4 linked regions of the Drosophila melanogaster genome follow. The gene in region 3 interacts genetically with the main gene of each other region. Each region holds a gene or a part of one and is shown on either strand. Other genes may lie near its edges. The genes, in order: PGRP-LF, Tl, Rel and PGRP-LE.

What was found.
Region 1: of Rel (region 3) and PGRP-LF, changing one suppresses a phenotype caused by changing the other (phenotypic suppression), as found in Drosophila melanogaster (one study listed by BioGRID).
Region 2: of Rel (region 3) and Tl, changing one enhances a phenotype caused by changing the other (phenotypic enhancement), as found in Drosophila melanogaster (one study listed by BioGRID).
Region 4: of Rel (region 3) and PGRP-LE, changing one suppresses a phenotype caused by changing the other (phenotypic suppression), as found in Drosophila melanogaster (one study listed by BioGRID).

Annotation. Positions count from the first base shown.
Region 1 is NT_037436.4:9,347,971-9,351,989, forward strand, and holds PGRP-LF (peptidoglycan recognition protein LF), read left to right. Parts: upstream 1-1,638; 5' UTR 1,639-1,715; coding exon 1,716-1,854; intron 1,855-1,925; coding exon 1,926-2,077; intron 2,078-2,473; coding exon 2,474-2,858; intron 2,859-2,896; exon of another isoform or gene 2,897-2,917; coding exon 2,918-3,351; 3' UTR 3,352-3,519; downstream 3,520-4,019. Other genes in the region: PGRP-LC (peptidoglycan recognition protein LC), read left to right, coding at 1-205; UGP (UDP-glucose pyrophosphorylase), read right to left, coding at 3,773-3,880, 3,948-4,019.
Region 2 is NT_033777.3:26,795,222-26,803,759, forward strand, and holds the start of Tl (toll), read left to right. Parts: upstream 1-3,819; 5' UTR 3,820-4,259; intron 4,260-8,538. UniProt on the Drosophila melanogaster protein: Receptor for the cleaved activated form of spz, spaetzle C-106. Binding to spaetzle C-106 activates the Toll signaling pathway and induces expression of the antifungal peptide drosomycin.
Region 3 is NT_033777.3:9,041,964-9,051,457, reverse strand, and holds Rel (relish), read left to right. Parts: upstream 1-3,480; 5' UTR 3,481-4,022; coding exon 4,023-4,934; intron 4,935-5,230; coding exon 5,231-7,234; 3' UTR 7,235-7,275; downstream 7,276-9,494. Other genes in the region: Mst85C, read right to left, coding at 1-271, 331-497; Nmdmc (NAD-dependent methylenetetrahydrofolate dehydrogenase), read left to right, coding at 1,081-1,094, 7,819-8,606, 8,674-8,801. UniProt on the Drosophila melanogaster protein: Transcription factor that plays a key role in the humoral immune response as part of the peptidoglycan recognition protein (IMD) signaling pathway.
Region 4 is NC_004354.4:15,798,734-15,807,276, forward strand, and holds PGRP-LE (peptidoglycan recognition protein LE), read right to left. Parts: upstream 5,148-8,543; 5' UTR 4,594-5,147; intron 4,358-4,593; 5' UTR 3,975-4,357; coding exon 3,776-3,974; intron 3,707-3,775; coding exon 3,407-3,706; intron 3,344-3,406; coding exon 3,230-3,343; intron 3,015-3,229; coding exon 2,950-3,014; intron 2,878-2,949; coding exon 2,518-2,877; 3' UTR 2,420-2,517; downstream 1-2,419. Other genes in the region: CG15602 (uncharacterized protein), read left to right, coding at 941-988, 1,060-1,304, 1,363-1,840, 1,906-2,163. UniProt on the Drosophila melanogaster protein: Peptidoglycan-recognition protein that plays a key role in innate immunity by binding to murein peptidoglycans (PGN) of Gram-negative bacteria and activating the imd/Relish pathway. Has no activity against on Gram-positive bacteria.

The sequences.
Region 1 (4,019 bases), on a different chromosome or scaffold from region 3:
CGCCTATATCGGATCGTTTAAGACCATCCAGCCGTCGGCCAAGCAACTAAGTGTTACTCGTCTTTTGCTGGAGCGTGGCGTAAAGCTGGGCAAGATTGCACCAAGCTACCGATTTACGGCGAGCAGTAAATTGATGCCAAGTGTAACCGATTTTAAGGCGGATGCGCTCTACGCAAGCTTCGCCAACTGGACTCATTGGTCGTGAATAGGTTAAGAGCTATTTCGATATTTTGCAATACTATCATTTATTTTCGTATTGATTTTGTATCATAGGTGTTCTCCCATTAATGTGTGGCATATTCGATTTAGCTAGAGTAACGATTCGTTTAAAAAGAAAATGTGATATTAAATAAAACAAAATGATTTACTTGATGAATTTCAATCATGTATGGGGATCAAGAACTAGCTGATAACTGGAATCGGGGAATTTCTGTAGAGGTGCTGTCTGGAACTGCCTGAAACCGGAAAAGTTGTAATATGGCTTGGCTTTTCTACGCATTCTTCCACCTGCGAGTTATGGGGCTTCCCCGATTATTGGAATTTTTAATTTCTTTCGCGACTATCTTAAAATTATTATATTATTATATTATAATTATTATTTTATACGGAGGTTAGTTTGCCTGGAGGTTGTTTTATCCGGACGTTAGTTTGCCTGCGGTTGTTTTATCCGGAGGTTTATTTATCCGGGAATCATTTTATCCGTTTTTATCCGGAGGTTAGGTTGCCTGGGGTTGTTTTATCCAGAGGTTAGTTTGCCAGGGGCTTAGCTTTCCTGGGCGTTACTTTATCGGGGGTTATTTTATCCGGAGGCTCGTTTGTTAGGGGGTTTGACTGGGGGAGTGTATTACCTGGAGGTTCATTTAACCCGAGGTTAGTTTGGCTTGGGGTTATTTCATCTGAAGGTTAGATCGTCTAGTGGTTATTATAGCAGGAGGTAAGTTTGCCTGGGGGTTTTTGTGGCTGGGTTTTGTTTTACCAGACATTTACTATCCGGAGGTTAGTTGGTCTGGAGTTCAGTTTGGCTGGGATATCTTATATCTGGCAAATATTTTATCCGGAGGTTGTATAGGCTCCATTTTACCTAAGTTTTAGTTTGTCTGTTAAAGAAATGTTTGCTAAATTCGCTTTCTTTTTCTACTTATCACGATCTATCTGCGTTCTATTTATGACAAAATAAAAACAGAATAATAATCGTGAAGAACTCTTTTTGGGTCAGTTGATCAAATCGCAGCCGCTAACTGTAGTCGGTCACTCATTCCAAGAAACCGGAAAACATCATAACTTCGGTCCAAAGATGAGCTAGCTTCTTTCAAAAACGCTAAGAGTAAGTATACGCCCCCTTGACAAAATGGGATTCCCATTTCTTGGACTGCTCACTACCATCAAATATCTCTTTCTAATCTCAAGTGGGCGGCGTTCAGAGATCGCGCACCCTGTTGCAAAAATGGCACCCTATATTAAGCTTTAAAAAGCTTTCTTTAGTTATACATACATATATTTATTTATAGGTATGAATATCTCTTATCAACAAGCTTATGAACTGCGCAGTCGCTTTAGGTTTTCAAATGTCCGGGGATTTTTCGGAGCCGTCAACAGAAATAAACAACAACCGGACTTGAGATCGGGTGCGTACTCACTTCAGTTGGCATCGGACGTTCGTCGTGCGAGGATCGATCGCGGTTGTGGGTAGTGCGATATAGTGAAAACATCTCAAGATGCCGAAAACAGTGGTAGTTACTCACCCAGGAAAACCGATAAATAACGAGAAAAGATTTCGCTTCGAGCTTCTCTATTTCTGTGTGATTCTTCTAATGGTTGTGGGTTTAGCAGCTGGCTATTTCATGTGGATGATGTGTGAGTCATTAAAGCGAATCGTAGATTGAATACAATTTAATAACCAATAACCAATTGTTAACCTGGTTTAGCCTTCTCCACACATTCGCCGAACAAGGGCCTACACATACTCGATCGCAGCGAATGGCTGGGGGAACCACCCAGTGGGAAGTACCCGCACCTTAAGCTTCCCGTCTCCAATATTATCATTCATCACACGGCAACCGAAGGATGCGAACAAGAGGTAAGTCTTACTTTGGGAATTTTAAATTGTTAATATCAAAGTGATATAGAATTGCTTTAAAGCTAACTTGAAACCAGTTTGTTTTACTTAGCTTACTGCGGCAATTACTTAGGATTCATGAAAAGGCTTTATTGTAACCAGTTGTTCTTTTCTTATCTACAAAAATTTATATAAATAATCAACCCAAAACTTTTCCTAGAAAGCCTCGTAAAACCGATATTATAATTCAATAGCTTGCCATAAAAAAAAACCCCCGCTTTGAGTCTATAGATCGACATACTTTTCGGTAAAAAACCCCCATTCTTCAGCACTATTTCGAGTTAATTAAACTTTTCTAAAAGTTAGCGGTTAAAAGACTGTTTACTTATGCATAAATCTTATTTCTATCTCGCCCAGGATGTTTGCATATACCGCATGAAGACCATTCAGGCGTTCCATATGAAATCTTTTGGTTGGGTCGACATTGGCTATAACTTTTTGGTGGGCGGCGATGGTCAAATATACGTAGGACGCGGCTGGCACATCCAGGGTCAGCATGTGAATGGATATGGTGCCATCTCCGTTAGCATAGCCTTTATCGGAACTTTTGTGAATATGGAGCCACCAGCTCGACAAATCGAAGCAGCCAAGCGACTGATGGACGAGGGCGTACGTCTCCATAGATTGCAACCGGATTATCATATATATGCCCATCGACAATTAAGCCCCACCGAAAGTCCTGGCCAGAAGCTTTTCGAGCTGATGCAAAATTGGCCCCGATTCACGCAGGATCCAACATCATGTAATGCAGTTGAAAGAAAAAAATACGAGAATATATTTATTTTCAAAATTTATTTTCAGTGCGACTCCTAAGCAATGAGACTGTAAAGATCGTTACCCGACCCTATTGGTTGGCCCAGCCACCTATAGTGCCACTTACTCCTTTGAAGCTGCCAATTGAGAGCGTGAGATTTGTGGCAACCAACACGCCATCATGTTTCACTCAAGCCGAGTGCACTTTTCGAGTGCGCCTTCTGCAAAATTGGCACATCGAGAGCAATGGATATAAGGATATTAACTATAATTTCGTTGCGGCTGGGGACGAAAACATCTACGAGGCCAGAGGTTGGGATCACAGCTGTGAACCTCCAAAAGATGCAGATGAACTAGTCGTGGCCTTTATTGGTCCATCGAGTAGCAATAAAAAGATAGCATTAGAACTAATCAAACAGGGCATAAAACTTGGTCATATAAGCAAGAACTATAGTCTAATTGACGATTTAGAAAAGTCATAGAAAACTGAAAGCAAGGGGAATGAAACTTGGCTAGTGCCATTCCTGTGCCATTTTTCAAAGTGATATTAATTTAAGACCTAATGTTAAGCATCACAAATATCTCACATCCAATAGGTGACAATCTCCTTCGTATTTATAGAAATAAACATGCCTTTATTGAGTTTCAACAGCTGCTATCTTTTATATCTCATTTGAACGACTACAACTAACATTTTTGAAAACATATTGCAATTCGATTTTGATTAAAAACCCTGACTGATTTCTACTTAACGATATATACAGATGACACACTTTGTGCTTACAACAATTGGCTAAATGAAATTCGTTATTGGAAATTTGAAACGCGAACATGGCTACTACATAAAACTTAGACAATTAGACTACAGTTAGTGAGACGATATCCAATTGTACAGGATTTGATTTAGTGGTCCAAGATGCGCATATTGCCAGATACAATCTTGTTCTCCAGAATGGCTCCAGCTGGGATATCGATACGATCGCCATGGTTAGCAATGATGATCACAGTGCCCTGCAGAATCAAGTTAAGACATGTTATTAGCGTATTTAAAATACCATTCAATATTATTCAAACTTACGCGCAAAGAAACGCCACGACCGAAAGTCACATCTCCGCTCACGGTCAAGTGATCCAGCTCAATGATGTCCGG
Region 2 (8,538 bases), about 18 Mb from region 3:
CCAGAAACCAGTAATGCGATAAGCCCTGCCGCCTAGCTAATAATAATAACTAGTTGCAATGATATCACGTCCACTTGCAACCAGTTTTGCAGATCTCCAGGAACTGGAACCCTCGGCAGCGCGCTTCATTTATCCCATAATTTGCATCTGCTGGTGCAAAACTATTTTTACATTTGCAAATGTACATATCTGGTGGGGGAATGTGGCATCTGGAATCTGCTCAAGCGGCTCAGAGATGCGCCAACTTCCGGCCAAGCTGCATTTGCAAATTAAGAGTACAACTGCAACTGCAACTGCGAACTGCTAATGCAACATTCACATATGTTGCGCATGTGCCGCTGCAGCAAATGCATCGCTGCCACTTGAGACTCGGAAATGCGGCTCATATGCATATTTCAACGCCTCCTCAAGGAAAACAAAAACCATTCGACGCGGCCAACGGTAGCCGACGAACCAAACGAAACTCACACAAAATCATATCAAATATCGAAGGAAGCTGACAGCCATGGGATAAACAAAAAGCAAAAAGACAAAATATGAAATAACAATAACGCCGAAATGGGAAAACGGAAAAGGGAAAGGGCAGGCCCAAAGTGGGTGGGGGTGGGGCTGAAAATGAAACAAAGCGAGTTCAAAGCAAAGTAGACAGTGCGGATACAAGTGGAAACTAAATATTCACTGGGAAAATTTAATTTATGCATTTTTAGGATAGTAGCAGCTAGATAGATACAATTATTTGATCTTATATGAAGAACATTACATGGTCTATATACGAGTATTTATATATGATTCTAAAAGATAGGTAAATGTTACGCATATATGTATCTATAAGATATCTACAAGATCTGTATCTATAAGATAACCGCTTTCTGGCAGTGTTTTTTCCCTTATGGGTTTGCTCCAAGCCTTTGTTTGTTCCTCTCGGCATGTGCATGAGTGTTTGTCCAAAACTTGGTAACTTCGCCGTCTTGCCATTTGCATTTCCCACGTTGTCAGGAGGAGTGAAGGGGGGAAAACTCGGGCGCAGTACTGAGGAAAAGCCAAAGTCAACGTCAAAGTTGAACGTGTCAGATACAATTCCATTGCTGGAGCTGAAACTGTTGTTTCTGCCGGGTTATGTCTTTGCGTTTTACTATTTCGGCTTTTGGGCCAAAGAAGAAGCTGCCAGCTGTTAATTGGAATTCGGACTGCCCTTGTTTTGGGTGCCGCTGTCATTCCCGCTTACGATGAAATTTATACAATCTTTCTATTTGGCAGCGCTCAGATCGGGCAGCTCGGGAAACAGAAAGATAAATATACAAAATTAACACGTACTCAGGTGAAAATGAGCAGGTAGTTACCCATGCGATAGCAAGTGTGTGTTCTTGTGTATGAAAGGACGTCTCACACACACACACACACACACAAGACCACCACTCGTTGAGCAAATAACCCCAATAAATAAGCCAAGTTAGACCGATTCGAGGGGCAAGAGGAGGGGGAGCCGAGTTCCAAGCCAAGATGTTCATGAAAAAAGTTAATTAAGGTGTTTGCCCCGCAACAACAACAAGGCCGGGCATTATATGCTAGATATTTATCTCCCGGCTGGGGAAAATGGATCTGGTTGCATGCCGCAGAGTGTTTGCTTTTGAAATGTTTGTCATTATCGTCGTTAACTTTTTGATGAGTCGAACGTGTGTGATAAAAGTGTCACACGGATTGAAAAGAGCGACGAGCGAAAGGAAAAGAAAAACTAATAACGCAGACGGGCCAGAATGAGTTTGTACGTGTGTGTGAAGAGATATATATATGGATGTTGGGGTATATGTATATAGAATGTATCTTTCGGATACCAATTGCCATTAGTTTATTGAGAATCCGAAATTTATGGCTCTGCGTGTCGTGGCCAACCACGCACAAATGGTCACAAATCTGGACCTGAAACACATGTGGGCCTGCCTTTGGTTCCTCCAGCATCTGTGGCACGTACAAATTTCATTTGTTGCACTATTTATGTGCTTCTCCACTGATGAAAATGAAATCAAATTAAATTTTCGGCACAATTCAAAGTGAAATTTTGCAGCTAACATAAAACAAGGCAAATGAGGAATAAATCTCCCGATGTGTGTCCTGTGCGCTGGGTTTTCCCATGTGGGTACATTGAATGGGAAATTACTGGAATTTCCTTTCGGTCAGAATTACATGCGCATATTTCGGTAATATCTTTGAAATTTACAGTAAATCCTAGGTATTTGAAATGAAAAACACGGGCAGTGTGGCAAATGTGTATATTAATGCATCTTTGCGGGGAGAAGTAGCCATTATGTTGCCTATTAAGCTTATCCAGATTTGCGTTGCTTTGTTTGATTTGACGTAAAGTTATTTGCTTGGAAAGAAAACATCTTAAATCCTTGAAAATTGTGGTGTAAGCCTAGTAGTAAACATTAAAATTGTTGTTGTAATATTTCAACAAATTTATTTAAATTTCAAAGACTTTAGATAATTACCAATTGGGAAATGGAATCAACACAAGATTGCTATGAAAATTGTACATGAATTCAAAGATTATTCATAAGCATGTCCTAATTTTCCATACGCCGTGCATAATTACAGAAAACACAGTTGCAGAGGGATACGATTTCCATTTGCATTTCCCATTCCCCGTCCCTGTCGCACTTCACACGCTGCTCCCCCGGGAGCTATGTCCCATCCTTGTTCCGCATTAGCAGAACGCACTTCCACTTCATTTGAGTCGCAAGCGGCAGAGCGAGAGGGTAGATGTTGTGGAAGTGTGGTTTTAATTGGCACACAACAACAACAGCAAGCAGTCTGCTACGTGCTGGCAATTACATTTTACATTTTACTCAGAGAGAGAGACTAATCAACTAATAAATCCATAATCACTGTTATTACGTATGCTGCCTGAGATGCTTAGACTTTGAAGTTAACCGGTTAAACTTGGCTAACAAGAACTGAGAACTACTGGCCAACAACAACTGCCGGCTTTTCCCCCAAAAATGAAAACAAAACAGTAGAAGGCTCTCTTGCTCTACCACTTTCTCTTATACTCTTATACGAAGTACCTGTATTTCAACTGTTTTCCTCTCTCGCATGACTTTTATCGCATGCGATTTGTTTATAGTGCAACGACCACAGACACGAAGATAATTCGTGTGTCTCTCTCTTTTTCTCCCACGCATCTGTACCTTCGAACGGTATTTGTGGGGTAGAAGAAATTGCTCGACTTATTATATCGTTTGCCACTCAGAAGTTAGGGAAAGAATTTTATTTTTTATAAAAATCCTAGTCAACTAACATAAATCAACTGAAAGCTCGATTCCTCATATTATCACATTGTGTTATTGCTACAAGAACTGTTGTTCTAAAAATTCTTATCAGTACGTCAAAAATATAAAAAAATTTCGAGACTAGCATTTTTATCCAACTCATATTTATTTATAATAAGCTGATTATATATAAAACCCAAACAGCTTTATAGAAATAACTTCACACGTTATTTAAGGTTAAAAAAGTAGCAAGATAGGATGTTATTAAAAGTAGAATATAAAAAATATAATAATAATTTAAAATGTCTTAACAAACTGGAGCTTAAGGAACCAAAAGCAAACAAAATGATATAAAACATATAAAGACTGTGACAAAATTATTAAAATTTAAAATAAAATATATTAATAGGCTGATTACAAATTTAAGTAAATAATGTTTTCTATATTGAGCAAAGGGTATCTTGCCGCCGACTCAGCCACTCTCTCGTCTTTCCCTCCACACTAAGCGCACTACCAGCTCTTCATCTCTCAGTTCTTCTTTCTTTTCGAGTCGAGTTCAGTTTGTTCCGAATCGCCGACGTGAACGCACGCTTGTCGCGCTTGTAGCAGTTGGATTTTTGATTTTCCCAGCCAGAGTCCCGCGTTCGTGTGTTGTGGGCCGCTTTTGTTTGTCTCGTTTTGTGGCCAGCGATTTGGCAACCGAATAAGCCAAGTTAAGAGCAACGCTACGCAGCACAAAATCCATAAAAACAAGAAACACAAGGCGCAATTAAATGCAAATGTGTGAAAGTGTAGCAAGCATTTAACCAAAAATAAAATCGCAAAAAATCGCGGCTTCAAAGTGCGAACAAGCGCGAACAGAGAAGCTAAACAACAGTGCCAGTGCGTGTTTGTTCGTGGCAGCTTAAGAAAAGCCAAATAAATATTAATATTTGCACAAGAGATCGCAGCGGAGTAGCTAACCTCACATTTAATAAAACACGTATTAAAACGGTAAGTATTTACGTCTCCTTGTTCAGTTATTACACTTTGAACCGTGCCATCTCGCTCTGTCTCGTTATCTCCCATTCGATTTTGCTTTGTGCTAAGCTTCGCTTGGCTCGCGCTAAGCTCAGCTATCTCTGTCCCACTCTCTGATCAGTCCAATTCGCCTATAATTGCACAGAAAAAAATTTACCAAATTGATGGCTCATCGGGCAATTGGTTGACATTTTGTTCCAGTTTTGATCACAGTCAGATAAAATCAATTTAAAGTACATAAAATGAGCTGTAAAATATTTGTAAACATCTTTAAATTGATCTATTAATACTACTACTACTACTACTACTACTACTAGTACTCTGCGTAAAACCGTATTTTTTCCTGTGCAAATTGGCGATGAATAACAGTTTCAGCAGTTGTAACCGTTGCACAATTTTCCCCAGTGCTTGTGTGTGTCACACTCTTGTTGTCCACAATTTCCGTGGTTTTTCTCGGCACTTTCCAGGGAAATGTGCAAAATGCTGCAGTGCAGCAGCAAGTGCTCTTCGGCCTTGGGGTGTGCTTTGCGTTTTGGCCAACCCATGAACGAAACAAAAAAGAAAACAAAGCCACACGCATTTGGCCCAAAGCTCACGAGCCAGCATATTAACACTTTGAATTTTTGGCCAAAAACCAGTTTGGAATCGAAAAAACAAACAGACACAACAAAAGTTTATTTACTACCAAAGAGAGCTTCGTTCAACAGGTTTTCATTGCGGGGACTTTTATTCGTATTGAAGGTGGAAATACCTGGGTAATGCAGGTTTCAAAAGTACTTCTAACAAACCAGAAAATGCCCACTTGTGCTTTAAAAGCTAATAAGTTGCTGATTAGAAACAGCAAAACAAAATAAGAGAAGAAGGAAGGGACAAGAATCTTCTCGCTTGTACCAATTATGGTAAAAATCGTATGACCTTATGATAAACTTAGACTTTTGTTTTTAATTCATTTCGATTCTTCTTGGGTTTTCCAACACCATAAATCTCTTCTTAGTTGATAGCCCTTGACCACTAGCTACATTTATATGAAAAATTCGGAAAACCCCAAGATTCAACCCCAAAAGTTCAACGATTATCGCTCAGAAGCAGCAGGTCTTGAATTCAAGAACAATGCTGTTTTAACAATAATTATACAATATATATAAATTTTGATTGTATTTTTTTCCGATAGTTAACATCCTGCCATTGAGCTTCTTTCGCCTGAGGGTTTTCCGAATAACTGTACTCTGGATTTAGGTTAAGATTTTTCTTCTTTGGCCCACATCAAAGGCAAAGAAGCTTTCAAAGCGGCTATAACAATGGCGGCAAACTGAAAAAAAAAAATGCTAGTCTTCGTCTGTGAAGGTAAAACTGCGGAAGTCATTTAACAGTCTACTTAACTTCTGCCAAAAAAAAAAGAAGTGAACGAAAAAAATGAAGTGGAAAACGGCAAACTGCAAACGTTCAAGATGCTCCGCTTGGGTCTTTCGTCTTGGCCACGTTAGAAAGTAGCTGTAATTGTGGCTCCGTTATTGTTATGGCCAAACCGCCACTAGTCCAACTGCAGGCGGTAAAAGTTGCCCAAAATGAATTGTCATACAAACACGTTTGTTATAAATATTTCTGCACAATGAGAGACTCATTTAAGATTCATTGTACTCGCTTTTTTAGTTGTTAGCTTTATTTTTCCCCCTCTCATTATTGAGGGCGTTTGTCCACTCGGTTGATAAGCGAAAAGGCAGAAAAACAATATTCAAAGCTGACTCCGCTTTGGTTTTTACATCTGCCAAGTGTTTTTTAGCTTTCTGCTATTTCACTCTTAGTTATTGGCGACTTGTGTTGATAATTAGCACGTCGGCTTTCAGCGTTTCTATGACTTGTGGTCCGCTCAGCGTGATGAGTCAGCCTCCTAAGCTGAAAAGAGCGTTACGATCGAACCACCATATGTCTTACTCTCCCGATCTCAGATCAGCGGGCGGTTTAACCCAAAGTCAAACCAGATCCGTGACGTAAATGGGAGACAAATACACGCAAAAAAAAAACAAGACTGAAGATCTGAAGATTGTATCTATAAGATCTGTTATTAAAGTGATATGTAATTACATACTACATTCTTATATGATGACTATAATGACTAATATAAACACGTTTTAATATAGTACAAGTTTATATTATATAGCGTAATATCATACTTACCGTATTGTTATCACCTGTTTTTTTTTAACAACTCATTTCTTTTCGTGTGATTTCAACGTGTGAGGTTTTTTACTCTCCAATCAGATTGAACTGAGATAGAACTGCCTGACCAGTCACAGGGCTTATTGCCTTGCATTCAATTAATTAATTTCAATTTTATTGCTTCAGCTGACCATAAAATCGTGAAGGGAGGAATAACCATAAGTTCCCCACTGCGACATTCTCTCGGTGGAGGGAAATGAAGTCGTTGCACTTGCTTTCACCCTAATGCCTTCATCAGCTGCACAAACGAAAAATCTCATTAATTTTCCACTTTCTGTCTATCTTTGGGTTATCTCTCCATTGTTTGTCCCCGTCCCAGTTCCCTTTATGTTCTTACTATTTTTTTTTTTTTTTGGCCCTACCTGCGTGCAGGAGTTTTCCCTCATGAAGTTTTCGGTCGCGACATGTTTTCTGATCCGTGTCCTGTGCTCTGGTCTAGTTCATTAGATGGACTTGGCTAATCGATTTCCATAATCAAACAGATGGCGCCAGAATATGAGAACGAGAATGAGACATAGCAAATGAAGCCGAGTAAATGTTGATATAATAAACCCCGTGTGGCAGGGCCAATTAGGCCTTACTCCTCACCTGTGACACAGCCACATATTTTCTCATTTGAATAAAGAAACACGACCACAGCAGGGGAAACATTAGACGCGCCTAAACGTAGAAATTAGCGGCCACAGAAAACGGGAGGGAAAAATTCCAAAAAAATAAACATACCGAAAAAGAGAAATTTAATTAAAGCCGCATAGAAAAAAATGCATAAATTTAGTCACCCAAAACACCCACCCACCTGGCATGTAATATTTGTAACCTCATTGCGGCGGCAGGGGAAAGGCGGTGTAATTTTCACGGTCCCCGATCTGCAGCTTTTCACCAACTTGGCGGGTCAGTCCGGCATAATGATTAGGGTCAGTGTGGGGTGGAAAGTCGGGAAAACTCCTGCCACCCAGCTGGAAAAGGAAAAGCAACAGCAGCGGCATAAGCATCAGCATCAGCAGCAGGTTGCCAACAATTTCTGCTTATAATTTTCCGTTTTTCATCCTCCTTTTCTTTTTGGCCCGCTTTGTTCTGGTCGAGATAAAAGCATTTGTCATTAGCATAAAATGTTCTGGCTCAGGTTTTGATCTGGAGTTTGGCCCGAAAAAAATTAAAAATGCTACGAATATTTGAACTTCATTAGTGGGCCAGCGAGCCCAAATGGGCACTTGGCTATAATTAAAATTTAAGCTAATTTTAATGCTCAGAAAAGCGGGGAAAGGCAAGCCGAACAACAGTAAGTCAGCAACAATTTGGGCCAGATATTATAAAATACCTCAAATGGTGAATGTCCAACGCTTGATTTAGCTTTAAGAATGGAACACGAACCCAAAGTGAAAGATAATGGATTGGGAAAATGGAAAAACCTACGCTTTTCCTTTGATGGGCATTCACTGATAAGAAATGCCCACGCAACAATAAGAACAGGAAGACACGTTTTCGTAGGTGCCAGTAAAAGGCGATCGAGTCATCATGCCTCGCCGAGCACCCTTGGTAGTACCCTTGTAAACGTCTCAAGATTAAAGTCACCGATAAGTCGAAAATGTACTTAGATGGCCAAGATGCCATGATAACGCCACTCCCAAGGGCCAACACTCAACACTTTGCGTGAATGGTCTGCAATTAAAGGGACTTCTGCTGCGACTCCTGTCAACGTTAATGATTGATATCCGGCCATTCGGCCTGGGAAAATGTTTGAACACACACATATTTTGCCTTGACATGATCCCCAATAACCGAAAATGTCAGGAGCCAGCCCCTCGAATTTACATCAATGGCATATCGCTTGAAAATTTAATAGCACATTAAGGGCGGACAAGGACTAACATTTGCATTCCTAATGAGACGCCCGCCACGCAGACACACACACACACACACACACACACACAATCCGTATCCACGTCCACGTCCAAACTGCAATTGGTGGGGACAGTTGGAATTATATAGCAATCAGTCGCGGACTGAAATGTGTCAATATGTTGCAGACAGGGGG
Region 3 (9,494 bases):
TGGCTTAAGGCCATCACAAATTACGATGCGATTGGCATTGCGCAGTTTCTGCTCCAGTTCCATGGCCGCCATTTGATAGGCGGGATTGGGGTGGTGGGTCTTCCCGGTGCTGGTGGATGGTATATCATCCGTGGCCAGTCCGCCCGTAACGCTGGCCACGCTGTTGTTGTTGCTAACAACGGCCGTGGCGGCGACATTGATCTTCGGATCCAGCGATAGACCGCTGAAATGCTGGGTGATCCTCTCCTCGGTTATAAGCATTTTGGGTGGTCTGCAATGAGTTCTGTGGTTAGTATTTTATGTGGATGTTGTGTTGAGGATATAGCTTACAGCACTGCCGGTGCCGGCTGCTCGGATTTTCGCTTATGCTGCCATTTTACCAGATCATTCTCCACCGAATTGCCGAAGGTGCTGCAGCTCCCGAATCCGAAGTCCATGATACCGCCCGGAGGAGGCGCATTGAATGGGAATGATTTCCGCTTGCTCTGGGGCTTCATCGCCAGTCTGTGGGCATCAGAGATGCAGTTGCGTGGGCAATAGTTATGCAAAGGAATGGTGTTCAAAATTGCAATGGAGATTGGATTTGCGACTTCTTGTTTTCCTTTTCACTGCAGTGTGGCCAGATGGCGTTGGCATAAATAAACCAAAAAAGATGCATCACACTTGCACTGCTAAGACACACTCAAACGTTAAGCGTTGAATTTACAACAGTATCAGATTATTCATACAGATAAAATTGTACGTGCGCAGCATTATCTTCGTTTTATTCTTGGTTATTGAGAAATCTGCAATTTGTCTACCCCTGAAATATTTTAATCTAAGGCCAATTTCGAAATTTCGAACTAGAAAGGTACTAAAAAATACCCGTTTTAAGAGCCATAAAAAGGGCTGCAACGCGCTTCTTTTAAATATTCCAAAGCGACAAGTGTGAAACCAAGTTCTTTTATAGAATACTTTAAACAAAAAGTGTTGCAATATTTAACGAGCTTAAAAGTATATTAGTGCAATAAACTCTAATAGGACATCAGATATTATTCAACAGATCAAACGTTTTCAGTTATTAAAAGAACTCGATTCAAAATGCGATTCACAAGGTGAGTTTTTGAAATCCGTACTTTGTTACATCTCCATTATTCATCGAATATAGCTATATATTAATTATGCCATGTGCTTCTCCTACAAGCATTTTTAGTTCTTAATTATTGTTTTGAAAACATGAGTTACAATGAAAAATAAAGGACAAAACATTTTCTTTCTGAAAACTTCGAAAATAGTTCTATAGCTTAAAACAATTTTGACAATAAATTCACAATAATTTTCTATCACGCATCCTTGGGACACAAATTTGTAACGACCAGAGAAAGTAAAATGCTCGTCGAAATATTCCAGTTGTAAATTAAACAAGCTTGTTAAAGCATGACTCCCATTGGGCAGCCCACTCGCACTTTCCACGGGGGTTATCTCCGTTCGAAAATAACATGTTTTTCAACCCAAAACGGGAGCAATCATCGTCCGCGAACAACATTGTTAATGACGCCTGCATTGTTTTTCCTCTGGCTAAAAACAAAAATCGCCAGTTACCAGGCGTTTGTGCATCAATTCCATAACTTATGGAATAGGTAATGGGTGATCAGAGGGGGCTGAACTCAAAGGCTTATCAGTGGGAGACGTTGGTGGCCCCCTGTGGAGCAAATTGACGTCACCGGCCAACAGAATCCAACTTAATCTCCGAGTGCAGTAATCGGAAATCAGATTTCGTCATCCGCCGCGTCGAAGAAAAACAAACTATTGAAAAATAACTCGTGTCGGAAATTTTAGAACAGCAAATATTCCCAACCAAAATCGTAATCATGTAACTGGTAATAAAAGCAACAAAAGTTGTTCTCCACGTCTTTAAGAATTTCCTAAATAAATATTTGTGCACACAAGGCGAACTTTTAAAAATTTTCATGTTGAGAAAATAAAATATGTTCAATATGTGTTTAGCTATTTTCCGCGTTGTTTCAAAATCGAAAATCCATATATGCACATATGTATTTGTTCCGTTTTAAGCCATATTTATATGCACACAGTTCAAAACTTTTATCGACAAGTGTTTAAAGCTTTTAAGTCGCGCTCGCTCGCACACGCATATTTAGTGCGCTGAACCGAAAAGCTTTTATCCAAAATATACAAACACGTGCGAGGCTCATTCAGTGATCTGTTTCGTTCTATACAGTCCATCGGTATCCGACAATCAGTGCAGTTCGAATTTTCCACCAGGAAAATTTCGCAAAAGCCAACAAAAGAAGTCACAATAAGGTATGCTGCTAGTGAAAATTGGCTAACAAAAATCCATAAAAAATACATAATTGACCTTCAAAGAAATTTGAATAGGCGTTCTTAAGACACGTTTGCTTTTATCAAGCCAAGAAAACGAATTTTCCTTTGTCCGCATAAAGAGCTAATTTTGTAGCCTGCCTATTAATAACTCTAGTCTAGACGCAGACTAGTGGTTGCAAAGTCAAGACCCCGATTTGTTTATGTTTTTCCTGCTAATTGATTATCAATATAAACAAACTCATCGTCAACTGATAAGGTGTAAAAGCATTTACACACACACACCCACACACCTTGGCATGGTAACAAGAGTAAGAGAGGAACGGCGAAGTGAGAAGATTGATTAACACATCAAAAAGTGCAAAGGGATCGTAAATACATACATATATACTCTAAGTGCAGCCTGGCAACAGATCAGCTGTTTCTGCGTGAGTGTGCGTGTGTGTGTGCGCGGGTCCAGTGGGAGTGGAAACCGACTGAATTGCAAATTAGTTCAGTGGCGCATGCTTATGTAGTTTTTTTTTATCATTTAGCACAAGTGTCTTAGGATAAAAGAACATTCCGGTGTTTTAAATTTTCCAACCATGTTGCGACGTTCTATAGGATCCATTTCGGTCTTGGCTTCCCGGAATTACGCCGGAAAGTCTAACTTCAGGTGTGTATGCTCATAAGAAAGTGAATCGGGTCCGAAATAAAACGTAATATCATACGAAGAAAAACAAAGCGTGCGCTAGAGATGAGTGCGTGACGAAAGTGAATTAAGGGAAAAGCCAATGGAAAGCGTAAAAATATATTATTAATAATACTAATATTCGGTACTTGCATTGCATAATTATTATTATTTTATAACACAGTTATAAGTTGTTACGCCGGTTCTCATTATAAATTTGTATTAAAATTCCTTATATCTTTATATTTATATAAGTGTTGTATTATTTATATTAATATTTTGTATTATATACCTTTATATCTTTTTGTCGAAATAGGTTAAATTATATTTATAAAAATTAATCAAGAATAATGGGAACAAACAATCGCGTACGCTTCCATCCCTAGATTTGTAGAACATCTGATTGGGGCGTTGCCACCCAACTCGTTTTATCTGCCGGTGGCAGCTCTGCCTTGTTTTTATTTTAGTGTGCGCGGTGTGTTGAAATCAGGTATTCAAATAAATGAATTTGAACCGTAGTTTCCGTGAAAAGCTGACCCGAAAGCTCGGCGCAAATAGCTTAAACCTGTTATCAGGGCAGCGAGCGTTTTGCTCGCAACTCGTGAGCGATACTACTTGTGTTCGCGCAGTGCTTCGTTCATTTTCGTTCCAGCAGTGGCGCACTAAAGTTCCCCGATTCGCTGCGTCGTTTTTCCATAAATTTGCATATATGTATTAGTTGGGTGGAATACATATAAACAGTGTGATTTCGCTCTGTAAACAACAACCGCGAATCCAGAATTCCGTACATGCTTATAGTATAGCCGATCAAAAAAATCACACTGAGTGGTGCGCCAGAAAAACCCGTGAGTCATCTCGACGTGGCCGCCGCAGATAATTTCCCATCCGCCGAACATCGGGGAAGTACCTAAAACGAATGGTCAGCCATCGGCGGAGCTCGTTTCGATCATTAGCGTTCCGATCGGCGAAGGCAGCGGATCACTTTTGAGTTGTTAAGACGCTATTGATCAGAAATATTGGATTGATACGGACTATGAACATGAATCAGTACTACGACCTGGACAATGGGAAAAATGTGATGTTTATGAACGATGCATCCAGCACCAGTGGCTATAGCAGCAGTACATCACCCAACTCCACCAACCGATCCTTTTCACCAGCCCACTCCCCGAAAACCATGGAACTGCAAACGGACTTCGCCAATCTTAATTTGCCCGGCGGCAATTCACCACACCAGCCGCCAATGGCAAACTCACCATACCAGAATCAGCTGTTGAACAACGGCGGAATTTGCCAATTGGGTGCTACCAATTTAATAAACTCCACTGGCGTTAGTTTCGGCGTTGCTAATGTCACCAGTTTTGGCAACATGTACATGGATCACCAGTACTTTGTGCCCGCTCCGGCCACTGTGCCACCGTCCCAAAACTTTGGATACCATCAAAATGGCCTGGCATCTGACGGCGATATCAAACACGTGCCGCAGCTGCGGATCGTTGAGCAACCGGTGGAGAAGTTCCGCTTTCGGTACAAGAGCGAGATGCATGGAACACATGGATCGCTAAATGGCGCCAATTCGAAGCGGACGCCCAAAACCTTCCCGGAGGTTACACTGTGCAACTACGATGGACCCGCCGTCATCCGGTGCAGTTTGTTCCAAACTAACTTGGACAGCCCACATTCCCATCAGCTGGTCGTGCGCAAGGACGATCGGGATGTGTGCGATCCGCATGATTTGCACGTGTCCAAGGAGCGCGGCTATGTGGCGCAATTTATCAACATGGGCATCATACACACCGCCAAGAAGTACATATTCGAGGAACTGTGCAAGAAGAAGCAGGATCGCCTGGTCTTTCAGATGAACCGCCGCGAGTTGTCCCACAAACAGCTACAGGAACTGCATCAGGAGACAGAGCGTGAGGCCAAGGACATGAACTTGAACCAGGTGGGTAAACCAGCGCGTAAACAATATCGAGTTGCTTGCTTCGATGAGGTGAATATGCACGTTTGCATTTATTATTCACACGTTTAATTGCTCACTTTAGAATGCTTTAGTCAATTAATTATAGGTTGCATTTGCTACCTTTTAATCTTTTTATTTAAGCAGTCTGTAAAGTATCTACTCGTTTAGCTCGAATTATATAAATTTCTCTGCTAAAATAACTGAGCAATATAACATCGAAGCAATTAACTTACTGAAAAGCAACAAAGAACTCACTAAAAAAGTAACACCAACTTTAGGTGCGGCTCTGCTTTGAGGCCTTTAAAATTGAGGACAACGGCGCATGGGTTCCACTTGCACCGCCTGTATACAGCAATGCAATCAATAACCGCAAGTCGGCACAAACTGGAGAGCTTCGCATCGTCCGCCTGAGCAAACCCACTGGCGGGGTGATGGGCAACGATGAGCTTATTCTACTGGTGGAAAAGGTCAGCAAGAAGAACATTAAAGTGAGGTTCTTCGAGGAGGATGAGGACGGGGAAACCGTGTGGGAGGCATACGCAAAGTTCCGCGAATCGGATGTACACCACCAATATGCCATTGTGTGCCAGACGCCTCCGTACAAAGATAAGGACGTGGACCGCGAGGTCAACGTGTACATCGAGCTCATTCGTCCCTCCGACGATGAGCGCTCATTCCCGGCGCTGCCCTTCCGCTACAAGCCACGGAGCGTAATTGTGTCGAGGAAACGCCGACGAACCGGGTCCTCTGCCAATAGCAGCAGTTCGGGAACAGAAAGCTCTAATAACTCGCTGGATCTGCCCAAAACGCTGGGCTTGGCGCAGCCACCAAATGGCTTGCCAAACCTTTCACAGCATGATCAGACTATAAGTGAGGAGTTCGGACGCGAAAAGCATCTAAATGAATTTATTGCTTCCGAAGATTTCCGCAAACTTATCGAGCACAACTCTTCTGATCTCGAGAAGATCTGCCAGTTAGACATGGGAGAGTTGCAGCACGATGGTCATAACCGGGCGGAAGTGCCATCGCATCGAAATCGTACAATTAAATGCTTGGATGACTTATTCGAAATTTACAAACAGGACCGCATATCGCCAATAAAAATCTCGCACCACAAAGTGGAGAAGTGGTTTATCGAGCATGCTCTGAATAACTACAATAGAGACACGCTCCTGCACGAAGTGATCAGCCACAAAAAGGACAAACTGAAGCTGGCCATCCAGACGATACAGGTGATGAACTACTTCAATCTGAAAGATGTGGTCAATAGCACTTTGAATGCGGACGGTGATAGTGCCCTGCATGTGGCGTGCCAGCAAGACCGAGCGCACTACATACGACCTTTGCTGGGTATGGGATGCAATCCAAATCTGAAGAATAATGCCGGAAATACCCCACTGCATGTGGCCGTCAAGGAGGAGCACTTAAGCTGCGTGGAAAGCTTCCTTAATGGAGTGCCAACCGTACAATTGGACCTCTCGCTAACGAACGACGATGGTCTGACGCCTTTGCACATGGCCATTCGACAGAACAAGTACGATGTGGCCAAGAAACTGATCAGCTATGATCGGACCTCGATTAGCGTGGCCAACACAATGGATGGTAATAATGCACTCCACATGGCAGTTCTGGAGCAAAGTGTGGAGCTATTGGTGCTCATTCTGGATGCCCAAAATGAAAACCTTACCGACATCCTGCAGGCACAAAATGCAGCCGGCCATACTCCCTTGGAATTGGCCGAACGCAAGGCAAATGACCGGGTGGTCCAGCTGCTGAAGAATGTGTATCCGGAGAAGGGAGAACTGGCCATGACCTGGATTCCATGTAAGGTCAAGGAGGAGATCGATTCATCGTCGGACGAAAGTAGCGATGCTGGTCAGCTGGAGATCAAGTCCGAGGAGATGGACATCGAAACAAAGGACGAGGATTCCGTGGAGTTGGACCTAAGTAGTGGTCCAAGAAGACAGAAAGATGAATCCAGTAGAGACACCGAAATGGACAACAACAAATTGCAGTTGCTGCTCAAAAACAAATTCATTTACGACCGGCTCTGTTCGCTGCTGAATCAGCCTTTGGGACATGGGTCCGATCCCCAAGATCGGAAATGGATGCAACTAGCCCGCCAGACGCATCTGAAGCAGTTCGCCTTTATATGGCTGGGCGCGGAGGATCTGTTGGATCACGTGAAAAGAAAAGGAGCCTCTGTAGAGTTTTCCACATTTGCTCGTGCCCTGCAGGCAGTGGATCCACAGGCTTACGCCCTACTGGTTAACCCAACTTGATTATGTATTGAATGTTGATCAATAAAGTACCTTAGTTTTACAAATACTATTCTCTTGTGGAATGAAAAATACGCGAAACTAGGATGCCTGGGATAGCAAGCTTTATTTTTAAATATCAGAGCATTAATTTATTTTCCTTTATTAGCATTTATTTAGTTTCCTTTATTATTCCATGGAATCTATTCTTTAGAATAGTTCTATAAGCAATCTAAACTTGTTCCCTCAAACAATTACCATCGGCGCCCTGCATGAGATCACTAGCAAAAGGGGATCCATCGATAGCTCGGCATTAAAAAGTACATTCTAAGAATGGGGAATCACTAATTTTTCATTGCCGCTCGCGCACGCCGCTTGGTAAACAAGTGGGTGAATCATACATGTACTTATGCGCCTAAGTGTGTGTTGTGGGGGAATTACTGTTGCGTAACTGCAGTGACAGGCGGGGATTTACCGACAGCCCTTATCATTCCCGGTTTATGACCTTTCCTGCTATATTTTTTCAAGAATATCGCAACTAAATAATGTTTTAAGGAATAGTACAGTGTAATCTCATTCAATTAAATAATATTATGATCGCATTCCAGCAACATGGCTCAAATTATCGATGGCAAGGCCATAGCCCAGGAGGTGCGCACCCAACTAGCACACGAGCTCAAGGGAATGGAGGCTGCTGGCTATCCGAAGCCCCATCTCACGGCCGTCATTGTGGGCGAGGATCCGGCTAGCGAGAAGTATGTGGCTAACAAGATGGTCGCCTGCCGGGAGGTGGGCATCTCCAGTGAGACCAAGAGATTGCCCGCCTCTACCACGCAGGAGGAGCTGCTGCAACTGATTGCCGATCTGAACAAGGATCCCCAGGTCACGGGGATACTGGTGCAGCTGCCGGTACCCGAGCACATCAATGAGCGCACCATCTGCAATGCCGTCGATGTGGACAAGGATGTGGATGGCTTCAATGAGGTCAACATCGGACGCACGGCTCTGGACATGGAGGCCAATATTCCGGCCACGCCGCTGGGAGTCAAGCGACTGTTGGAGCATATGAAAATCGAAACTCTCGGTCGTAACGCCGTTGTGGTGGGACGCTCCAAGAATGTCAGTCTACCGATGGCAATCTTGCTGCACGCGGATGGCAAGTATGCCACCAAGGCAATGGATGCCACGGTGACCATCTGCCACAGGTATACACCGCCCAAGGAACTGGCTCGCCATTGCCGCCAAGCGGATATCATTGTGGTCGCAGTGGGAAAGCCGGGTTTGATCACCAAGGACATGGTTAAGCCCGGAGCCTGTGTCATCGACGTGGGCATCAACCGCATCAAGGATGAGAGCACTGGCCAGTTTAAGCTGGTCGGAGACGTGGACTTTGAAGGTGTGTGGCTGATCTATTAAATCACTAAAGACCAACAAGATTGATTCATTTCCTCATCACTTTGCAGAAGTTCGCCAGGTCGCCGGCCACATCACTCCTGTGCCCGGCGGAGTTGGTCCCATGACGGTGGCCATGCTGATGCACAACACGCTGAAGGCAGCCAGGAAGCAGTTCGATGATCGCAAGTCCTCCTGAAGATTCACCAGTAACTATCGTGCTTCGCTGGCCGAGAAATAGTATTTTTATTTAATCCCCTAAACCTATATTAGATAGTAAAGTTACTGACCACAAGCTAACATGACATAAACCCACATATTTTGCTATATAAACAGAAATAATGAAATACTACTATTTCGTTTGATTTATGACTTTAACGATGGGAGGTATGAAAAAGTTCCAATATATGATCTTTGAAAAGGTTAAATAATTGAGAAAATATACTTGATGACAGCCAAATAAATTCCAATTATGTTACCTTCTGTTTGAATAACCGAAACAGAATGGCTTTTAACTGTTTATTATCACTAAAAATACAAAGGATACTTGCTCTCAGATGTTTGTGTTTTGTAGTTTACATTGTACAATTTGAACGAAAAACTTTATCTTAACTACTAACTGCGTATTTGGGCCTATTTGCACGATCGCAGGCCTGCGACTTATAATGCTGTTGCCAAAAGCGAGATAATCCTGGTCGGGCTCTAATCGGAAACTCGCACTGGAACTGGCCAAATGCCCCAGATTCGGCTTGGTGTCTTTCCTACGGAAGTTGGGCGCACACTGTAACATACTATTTGCGTCGTTTGTTGCATAATGTAGTACAGCCTGTCTATAATAATGGTAACTACTTGGGAGTGGGATTGAAAACAGCAGGTGTCGTGTTTCAGCAGA
Region 4 (8,543 bases), on a different chromosome or scaffold from region 3:
GAAGGTTTCCATCTACCTGTTACATATGTACATTGGAACCGATTATATGCTTATTTATACAGTACGTATAGATGTCACATAATGTTTTCATGGAGCACTTCCTATTGGAGTCAAGGGGAATTATATGCTCATATACATCGAGTTCCAGGGATTGCGTTTAAACGCATTATAACTTAATTAAACTATATATAACTTCCTGTGGCACAGCAAATAGTATAACTTCTCAAAATTACTTACATTGTAAGTGTATTGTTTGCAAAACCTGACTTGTTTGCCCTCATTTTATTGTTTGTTTTCGCTCACTGTTTGCTTCTACTTGCCGTGCTAAGTATTGTTAAACCGAATCAGAGAATGTTGCTAAATTGATTGTGTGGACAAGTCAATCAATTGACGTCTTAGCACCTCAAAACAATTGCACTGACGATACCTGACCGAGGCCGATAGACCTTTACCCTATCGGTAAATAGCTGCCTGTATAACAGCCCGTCTCCACCGGACCAAAGTCCACGCTCGCGTTAGATAACTATCGAGTTAGGTGAAAAATCTCGGATCTCAATGAATCATTTGAAAAGTGATCAGTGATCAGTCCTCGATTGATTTGTAAACAAAATAAACTACTAAATACATTTACAAGACTAAATACTATTCATTAACAGCTGTTGTGTGCCATGGACAATCGATACCAGGACTCACTCGACTATCTCTAGTTCCTAACGATCTGGTCACAACAAAGCTCAAGAATTTAATAATATTGATATTAGACTAAACCAAAACAAGGAACAGCTGATTTTTAGAACGCTAATGCGTTTAAGTCGTAATCGATAGCTCACCCACTGTACACTGTACACCATCCCTAATTAGAACTGGCTTCTTTCAAAACAAAGCAAACGAAATTTGAAACTTTTTCAATTTATATGTTCCATTGGTGACTCTGGTTGCAATGAGCTGCTTTGGCTGCGGTCGCAAATATGGCCTATTCTGCAAGGAGGCAAGTGCCATCAAACCAAAGCAAACCAACATATATCACCTACTTACATTGTGTTAAATCCGAAATTTTAGTATGGATGCCCCAACTGCGGCTACTCATTCTGCTCCAAGTGCTTGAAGAGACCAATGCCCGTGCCCCGTCATGCAGGAAAGGTGCACAATGTGTGCCTCATATGCTACGACAAACTATCCAAACTCCAGGCGAGCGCCGATGCCGAGAAAGTTATAGACTGTGATGCTTTGCCGGGGATCTTAGTCACCAAAATGAACCTGGCTCCTCCATCCAAAAGTTCAGATGGCGCCGATGCCCTATTCAAGTAAGTAAAATACCACATTAAAACACCGATTCTGAAACTATAATTCGATTAATTGCAGCGACAGCCTGCCTGTGGAGGAGCTGCCACAGGCATTGGTTCCCAGTTCCAGTTCGTCACCACATTCCAAAGATCACAAGGATCATATTGATGAGAACCTGGACAGTGAGTTGACCAAACGAATGCAGGACTATAAACGAGTTGATGCCACCGATGATGAGATCCGCACCCGTCTGGCCAATCTCACTGGGATGCCGCATACGAAAAGCTACGATAAGAAAGATCTGCTACTGTCCACCGACCAAAGAAACGATCAGGAGAAAATGAGGGACTTGCTCGCACAATTCGTTGACGAAGCCCAACTGGATCAAAATATCAGCAGGCAGAGGGATGACTCAATTTCCGACATTGAGAGACGTCTGCGAGCTCTGCGCGATACACCCGTCGATTCCGATGCATGCCCATCGAGATCCCAGATGGAAAGTATCGCGGACAACGAAGAGGATGACGAGACACTTCTACAGAACATATTGAAAAAGGTTCGCATTTATATAGTAGCATTATTTTTTTTAAGCCAAATCATCACTTTCGTATTCCCATTCAGTATGTAGCAGAATCGCGCTTACCAGAACCTTCCGAGAGTGAAATTAGTCCAATTAACACTGAGTCGCCCGGCAACACCGAAGAATTGCCCTGGTGCAATATTTGTAACGAAGACGCCGACTTCCGATGCCACGGATGTGGTGGGGAACTCTTTTGCACTCTATGCTATAAGGAGTGCCACGATGATGACGAGGAGTACCGTGCTCACGTTAAGGAAAAGTATTCGGCTCCGCCAAAGCTTAAAGAAAATCACTTCTAATTGTTAATTGTTTACTTGACTGTACGCAAATTTTTGTTTAATTATAGATTGTTTTCAGCAAATGCATTACTATTGTCTGTATTTATGTGGTGCTAGCTCGCTCATATTTGTGCAGTATAATTGTTGCTTCTCTTTCAGTTGTGAATTAAAACAGGTAGGCGATGTTGGTTCCGAAACATCTTGTGGTTTTTCCACCTTTCAGCGCTGCAAAAACTATACCAAAATATAAAGTAACTTAACGAAACTGCCAGTAGCTGGAAAATTTATAAACAGGTGATTTAATGTTCAACATTATAAACGTAACTCGGGTGCATTTAAGTCTAAGTATGTGAAATGGTGCTCTTCTTTTGTCCCTCATTGTTCCTCCTCCTCGATATTGTAAAAGTGGGGCCATGTCTGTATCTCCTCGTACAATCGCCGACCAGGACTCTCCGTCGAATTGCACTGGCAGTGACAAATTAATCTATAGTCGGTGGATATGTGACCATCCTCAACGCCGCGGGCCAACAGATTGCGGCACATATTCAAGGCGTCTGCCGTCGGGAGTTCTTTCATGAAGCATCCAATGAAACTGATCCCCAGCGAGATCCTGTTGTAACCCAGAGTGTGGGCGCCCACCGTTTTCCATCCGCGTCCCTCGTAGATGTTGCCATCGCAGCCGACCAGGAAGTTGTACGCAATGTCATTCCATCCCCGCGACTCAATGTGGAAGCACTGAAATATATATACATAATTATTATATAGTTCGGAGCATATATGATTTAATTTCGCTAACGAAATACTTACCTGCATGTCACGGATAAGTCTTACGTTGATCGCCCGCTTTTCTGAACTCTCTGTAGCTGTGTGTACTGCGTGGTAAAACAATATTTGTTAATCAAGGTTTTAAATATATTCGAAAAGAGTTATAATACGATATAATCTTAGGTTAGTGAGTGCTAAGCATGATGGTCAGATCAAATAGTATAAATTGTTTTAATTATTGCGTCATACTTTTACAGACAACTTGATTTATAATCAGTTGGCAAAAAAATGGTTAAAACGTGCAGCAAACTTGAATACTCACAGATAACCACATATTTAACAGGCAGTTGCAAGGGCAGTGGCTCGTCCATGGGCTTCTGTGCTAGCCACGAAGAGCGCGGAATGATGGCGGACAGCTCCTTGGGTATTTTGAATTCTGTAAGTGAAATCGGTATCCTATGGTTAACGTGTATGCATCCCCTGGTGAATGATAGCTTACTCTGGCGCCTGATGAACACATCCGAGCGCACCCTCTCCTCCGACTCGTCCTGATAGTCGTCTTCGAAATGTGTCGGAGTTTTGGGAGCGTTATCTCTCGGTGGTGAAACATGCCGCCGATCTCTTCGGTTTTGAGTAAGGCCATCGGCTATGATTTGTATATTTCCATTAATATTGGTAACATTGCCGATATGGACGTTCGTGGAGTTGCTTATATTAACGTTGCCCAAAGTCTGAATGCTGTTGATCGAGTTCATAAGGTCCCTTATGGTGTCGCTGATGATCGAATGCTTTTTGGTAGCTTTAAGGTGGGGATATATTGAAAGTGTTATAAATTGAATATAGAAACTTGATCTTGAGTACTACGCACCGATTTGAGTGCCTAGTGTCATAGTGCTGATTTCTTCACTGGTATTTTGGTCGGCATCCTCCTCTTCCTCGGTATAATCGTAGTCCAAGCTGTCCACAACCGAGGACTCTGCAATGGACTCCAGTTCCTCGTCCTCCTGACTAGCCAACCATTCGCGAGTCCGCTCCTGGCTCAACTTTTTGATTCCCGATTCGGACATGTCCGTAGTTTTGGCTTCTGTTTGCTGCCAATAAATGCGCGTGTATCTCTCGGCTGGCCCTTACTTTGTTTATCAATATTGTGAGTTAGAACTGCTCTATTCTCTGATTAGTGTTCGTGTCGTGTCCACCTTACACGATAAGATAAGGACGTTCCACAGGCTATCCACCATTATATGCGCAGGTGCCGTGGTGAAATGCTTTTTTGCATATCAGTCCACTTGGGGCTTTTTTTTTGCATATTTAGTCATGTGTATTAATTATTGTCATGGATATCGAGGATCAGTCTAGATATCGATAAGTATTATCGATGTTCGCATTTAGAACAATTCCACTGCCTTTGAAGGGAGCTTAGCGGTATCGTACATACAGTGGGCCGCATCCACTAGTTGAGTTTCAGATTTCGATAAGTATTTGATTAACCATATAAAGCTTACAAAAATTTAAATACGAACAAAAAAAAATAGTTTAAATTATCCCTCTTTAACCGTTTTGGACATATATTTCTGTATACATATATATATTGTTCTATGAAAATATATAAATATATATAAATAAATAAATAAGTAAATAAATATATATAAATAAATAAATATAATATATATAAATATATAAACATACAAATGCTTTGTCCAGATCCGAAAACCCCTTATCACTGGCTAAAATATAACCAGTTTGGTTCACCAATCAAATCGACTGGAGGTACAATGCACCCAGTGCTGGAAAAGATGAGCTTTCCAACACTCTTGCCTATATTGGGCTTTAATGCTAAGCAGTTAACTGCAACACTGCACCGTGTTTGATAATAAACCTGTAGAGGCAGGTGATTACACCCAAGTCAGCCCATCTTTAAGCATTAGTCATGGGGCTAGAGGTACTCAGATAAACCACCAAAACCTAATTCATGCGCTGTAAACATTCACTCGACCACTCTCGCGTATGCGCTGTTCTTCCCTCCAAGTCTCTCAATTACTTTCTTTATTTTTATATTTAGTTACTGCTGGCTATTCAAGCCAACCAAAGAGCTACCACAACACGGATTTAATAGTCACTTAGAGCCATTAAAAGAGAATAAACTAAAATGTAACCAACTTATAAACTAATTTTATACATTGCTTAAGCGATAGTTTGACGTATAAAACTGAGGAGCTTATATTTATTACTTTTGACTGCACAGTGGAATGCATTCAAAGGTCTGTTTATGTTTTTGTTCCGGTGTGACCGTATTCCGAACAGGAACACAGTCTAATTTAAAAGTTAAATTAAAAGCATATCAAAAAGTGAAATAAACTTTTTAAATATCTTCGCTAATTGGACAAACAGCTTAAATATATTGTAATCAACAGATAACCTAATCAAATATACCAAAATAGGCATTTTTTAGTGGAGTTCAAAAAAGGGCGGCAATCACCTTCAGCTGAATCAGCTGTCAAATAAAGTGAAGCTTTGGTATTAAAGCTTTTAACATAATTTAGGGGAAGAGAAAACATAAAAATGTATGAAAATGAAAGAGAAAAACGGATTCTCTTTATGTAAAATCTTAGAATTAACGCTCTCTTAGGTTCCACAATTGGTTCCGATTGGAACCGCGCACAAAGAGAGCGAGGAAGAGAGCGAGAGAGTTTCGAGTCGAATTGGAATGGCCAGAAAAATATATTTCTGCTTTCAGTTTCGAAAAATTTTTCGATGGAAGCAGCCGAGTGCGAATGCGAATGCTCAATGAGAAGAGCTTTTACTGTTTTACTTTTTGCCTGAAATACATTTTGAGATAATTTCTTATTGGTAGTTCTGTTTATGCCATCGCTTGCGTCTGTCTGTGTTATTTCGATTGCGAGAGCTAGTTAACATTAGTTAAAATTAAAACAAACGCCAGCCATAAGATATAATCGAATTGCGGTTTTTTCTTCTCGTACCGAATTTCCATCCACATCCGCATCCACCATCCGCCATCCGCCAAACCCATCCCGTTCCGTTTGTTCGTCGCTATCCGTCGGATATGTTGTTCTATCGGTGTACCGTACAAGTACAAGTTCGTACCCAGTCCAAAGCCAAACAGATTGCGCCGTGTGCCGGTAAAAATAAGCGCAAAGTTTGAGAAAAACCATCAACATCAGATGATGTGCCCTGGAGGAAAAAACGTCGCGGATTTAATGAAATCTTAAATAATGGGTTCGCTTTAGCACAATTCGACGTTGCATTCGGCCAGCGGTGTGTTGTGTAAACAAAGTTGTAGTTATAGTTTTAGTTTAATTAGCTTCGCATAAGCTGCAACCGGATCTGAAACAGACCGTGGAAACAAAAAAATAATAATAATAATAATAATAATAATAATTGCATTTCATGTATGCCAGTGTAAATTTGCGTTCGTGTGTGCTAAGTTTACATATAGAGAGCGTGGAGTGGATTGGGATTGGATAGTGTTGGATTGGATAGTATCCCTATCCGATTCGCGCCGTTATTGTTAATGCGCAGGTAATTCGGAGCGCTTTTCGGCCATTCTGCCCAATACCAATATTTTGTTCTACATCGTGTTTTTATTTTTATTTTTTTTCCAACATTTTTTTTGCTGTGCTGTGCAGTGCTGTATGCGTTTATTTGACAGCTTATGAATCACCCACAAAGATTTATTTGTGCTGATTGCAGCACAACTGTTGCACCCCATTCAAAAAAAAAACAAATAAATAAATTAATAATCACAAAAAACACCCGCACATCGTCTTCGGGAAAACTACTGAAGCGAGTTGGGCCAGCAAAAAAAAAAAAAATACGTATAAATACAAATAAACAAATAATACCCAAGCCATTGTTCCCCCTCCTTAACGATTATAATTACGTTGCTTTTTTTTTTGCAGTGCATTTATTAAGGAATCCGTCTGATATCAGAACAACCTTAACTAACGCCTTTAAATCAATGATATGGTGGCCAATTCCCATTCCGTCGAACAATCGAATCGAGCGACTAGATTCGGTAAACATCGACCAAGTGTAAACTCGACTCCCATTACCACTGTGTAAATACCAGAAAGTAAATCCAAAAAAAAGAACAATAATTCAACCTGCAGGGGAAACTAAAAACGCACGATACACTTATTTGGAAGTGGATTTAAGTTTCAGTAATGCCAGCCAATGAACGACCAATTGCGATACAATACAGAAACACAAACAGAAACCGAAACATAAGCGAAGAGTAAATAAATGCAAATTAAAACAAAAAAGCCGGGCTCATGACACAATTGGTCATGTAAATCGCGAAAGATAAACATAATCCGTATAATTCGTATAAATATCATCGTAGTCGCGACGGTGGAAAATGTGCAGTGCGGTTAAATCCTAAAAAATGGATCGGTTTTCACTGATAAGCATCCGCATTTGGGTTTATTTCTTCGATCCCTGCAAGGTCCGCGAAAAAAGTTCGCCGAAGAAGGTGCTGTGAATAGCCCAATCAATCCGCACAGCTCTCCATTTCGAGATAGAGATCTTCTCCAGCTTTCGGAATCCTCGCACATCTAGACCATATCCTAGCCAATCGGAGCAGCCGCGCAATAAGTAGCATCTAATCCTGGAGCTTTACACCAATGCGATATGGATTGTGATTACTCGAAGTTTCTGTACAAAAGTAAGTAAATGCTAAGATTAGATACGATGATAATATTTTAAAATTTACCGACGGCAACTTACCCCGTTCATTAGTGGTAACTCGATGATGAATTTTAATGAATTACAATTTATTGTGCATTTGTAATTTTAAAATACTCTTCAATTTTAATTGCACTGTCAGCGATTCTTGGGTTTTTCTTCTTAGAAGCAAATGATGAAAGTCTATTTAATGTCAAAGCCATAAAATTCGATTTTAGTTCTATAGTCTGGCGAAATATTCAACTATTTAGACAATTTATGAATGCTGACAAAAAATAATGTTCTATTAAGTGGAAAAAATGTTGACTAAAGAATTGAGGGATTAATGTTAGAGGAAACAAATCTGATAATTCAGCAATAAAATAAGAAGCAATAATCTTGAAGACTTCGGGCCTTGAAAAGGTCCCATTTATGTTCCTCTCCAAAAACTTAAAATAACAAGGTTTTTTTTTTTTTTTAAATTGGAACAGGATTGCGTCGGTGGTAAATCGGCTTTTTCCGCTGGAAAAACAACAAACAAAGTCTTAATTGAATCCTTATGGGATTTTGTAGGATTATATTTACATACATATTGTAGATTGCCTAATATGTAACGTAAAGTAGCAATACTTAATACTTTGATAGAACACTAATAAAATGAAAAAGTTTATCCTGTGAACTGATCAACTCGATCTGTCCGAATGTTTCGAACGTTTCCAAGAATCAAAAAATTCAATTCAAAAAATTCAAAAAAATAAAAATTGAGTCCCAAAAACTATAGTTTCTGATGGTTAATGCATTCATGTGATCGAATCAAATAACAATATTAGAGTAGAAATCTTACAACACATTGCTTTTCCGCGATAAAAAATCTCGTGCTAGCTTTTATCCAATGGGGATGACAATGATGTGGCAGTGAGATGGGGTTTTTTTTTTTTTTTTTTATCAATTTCGTA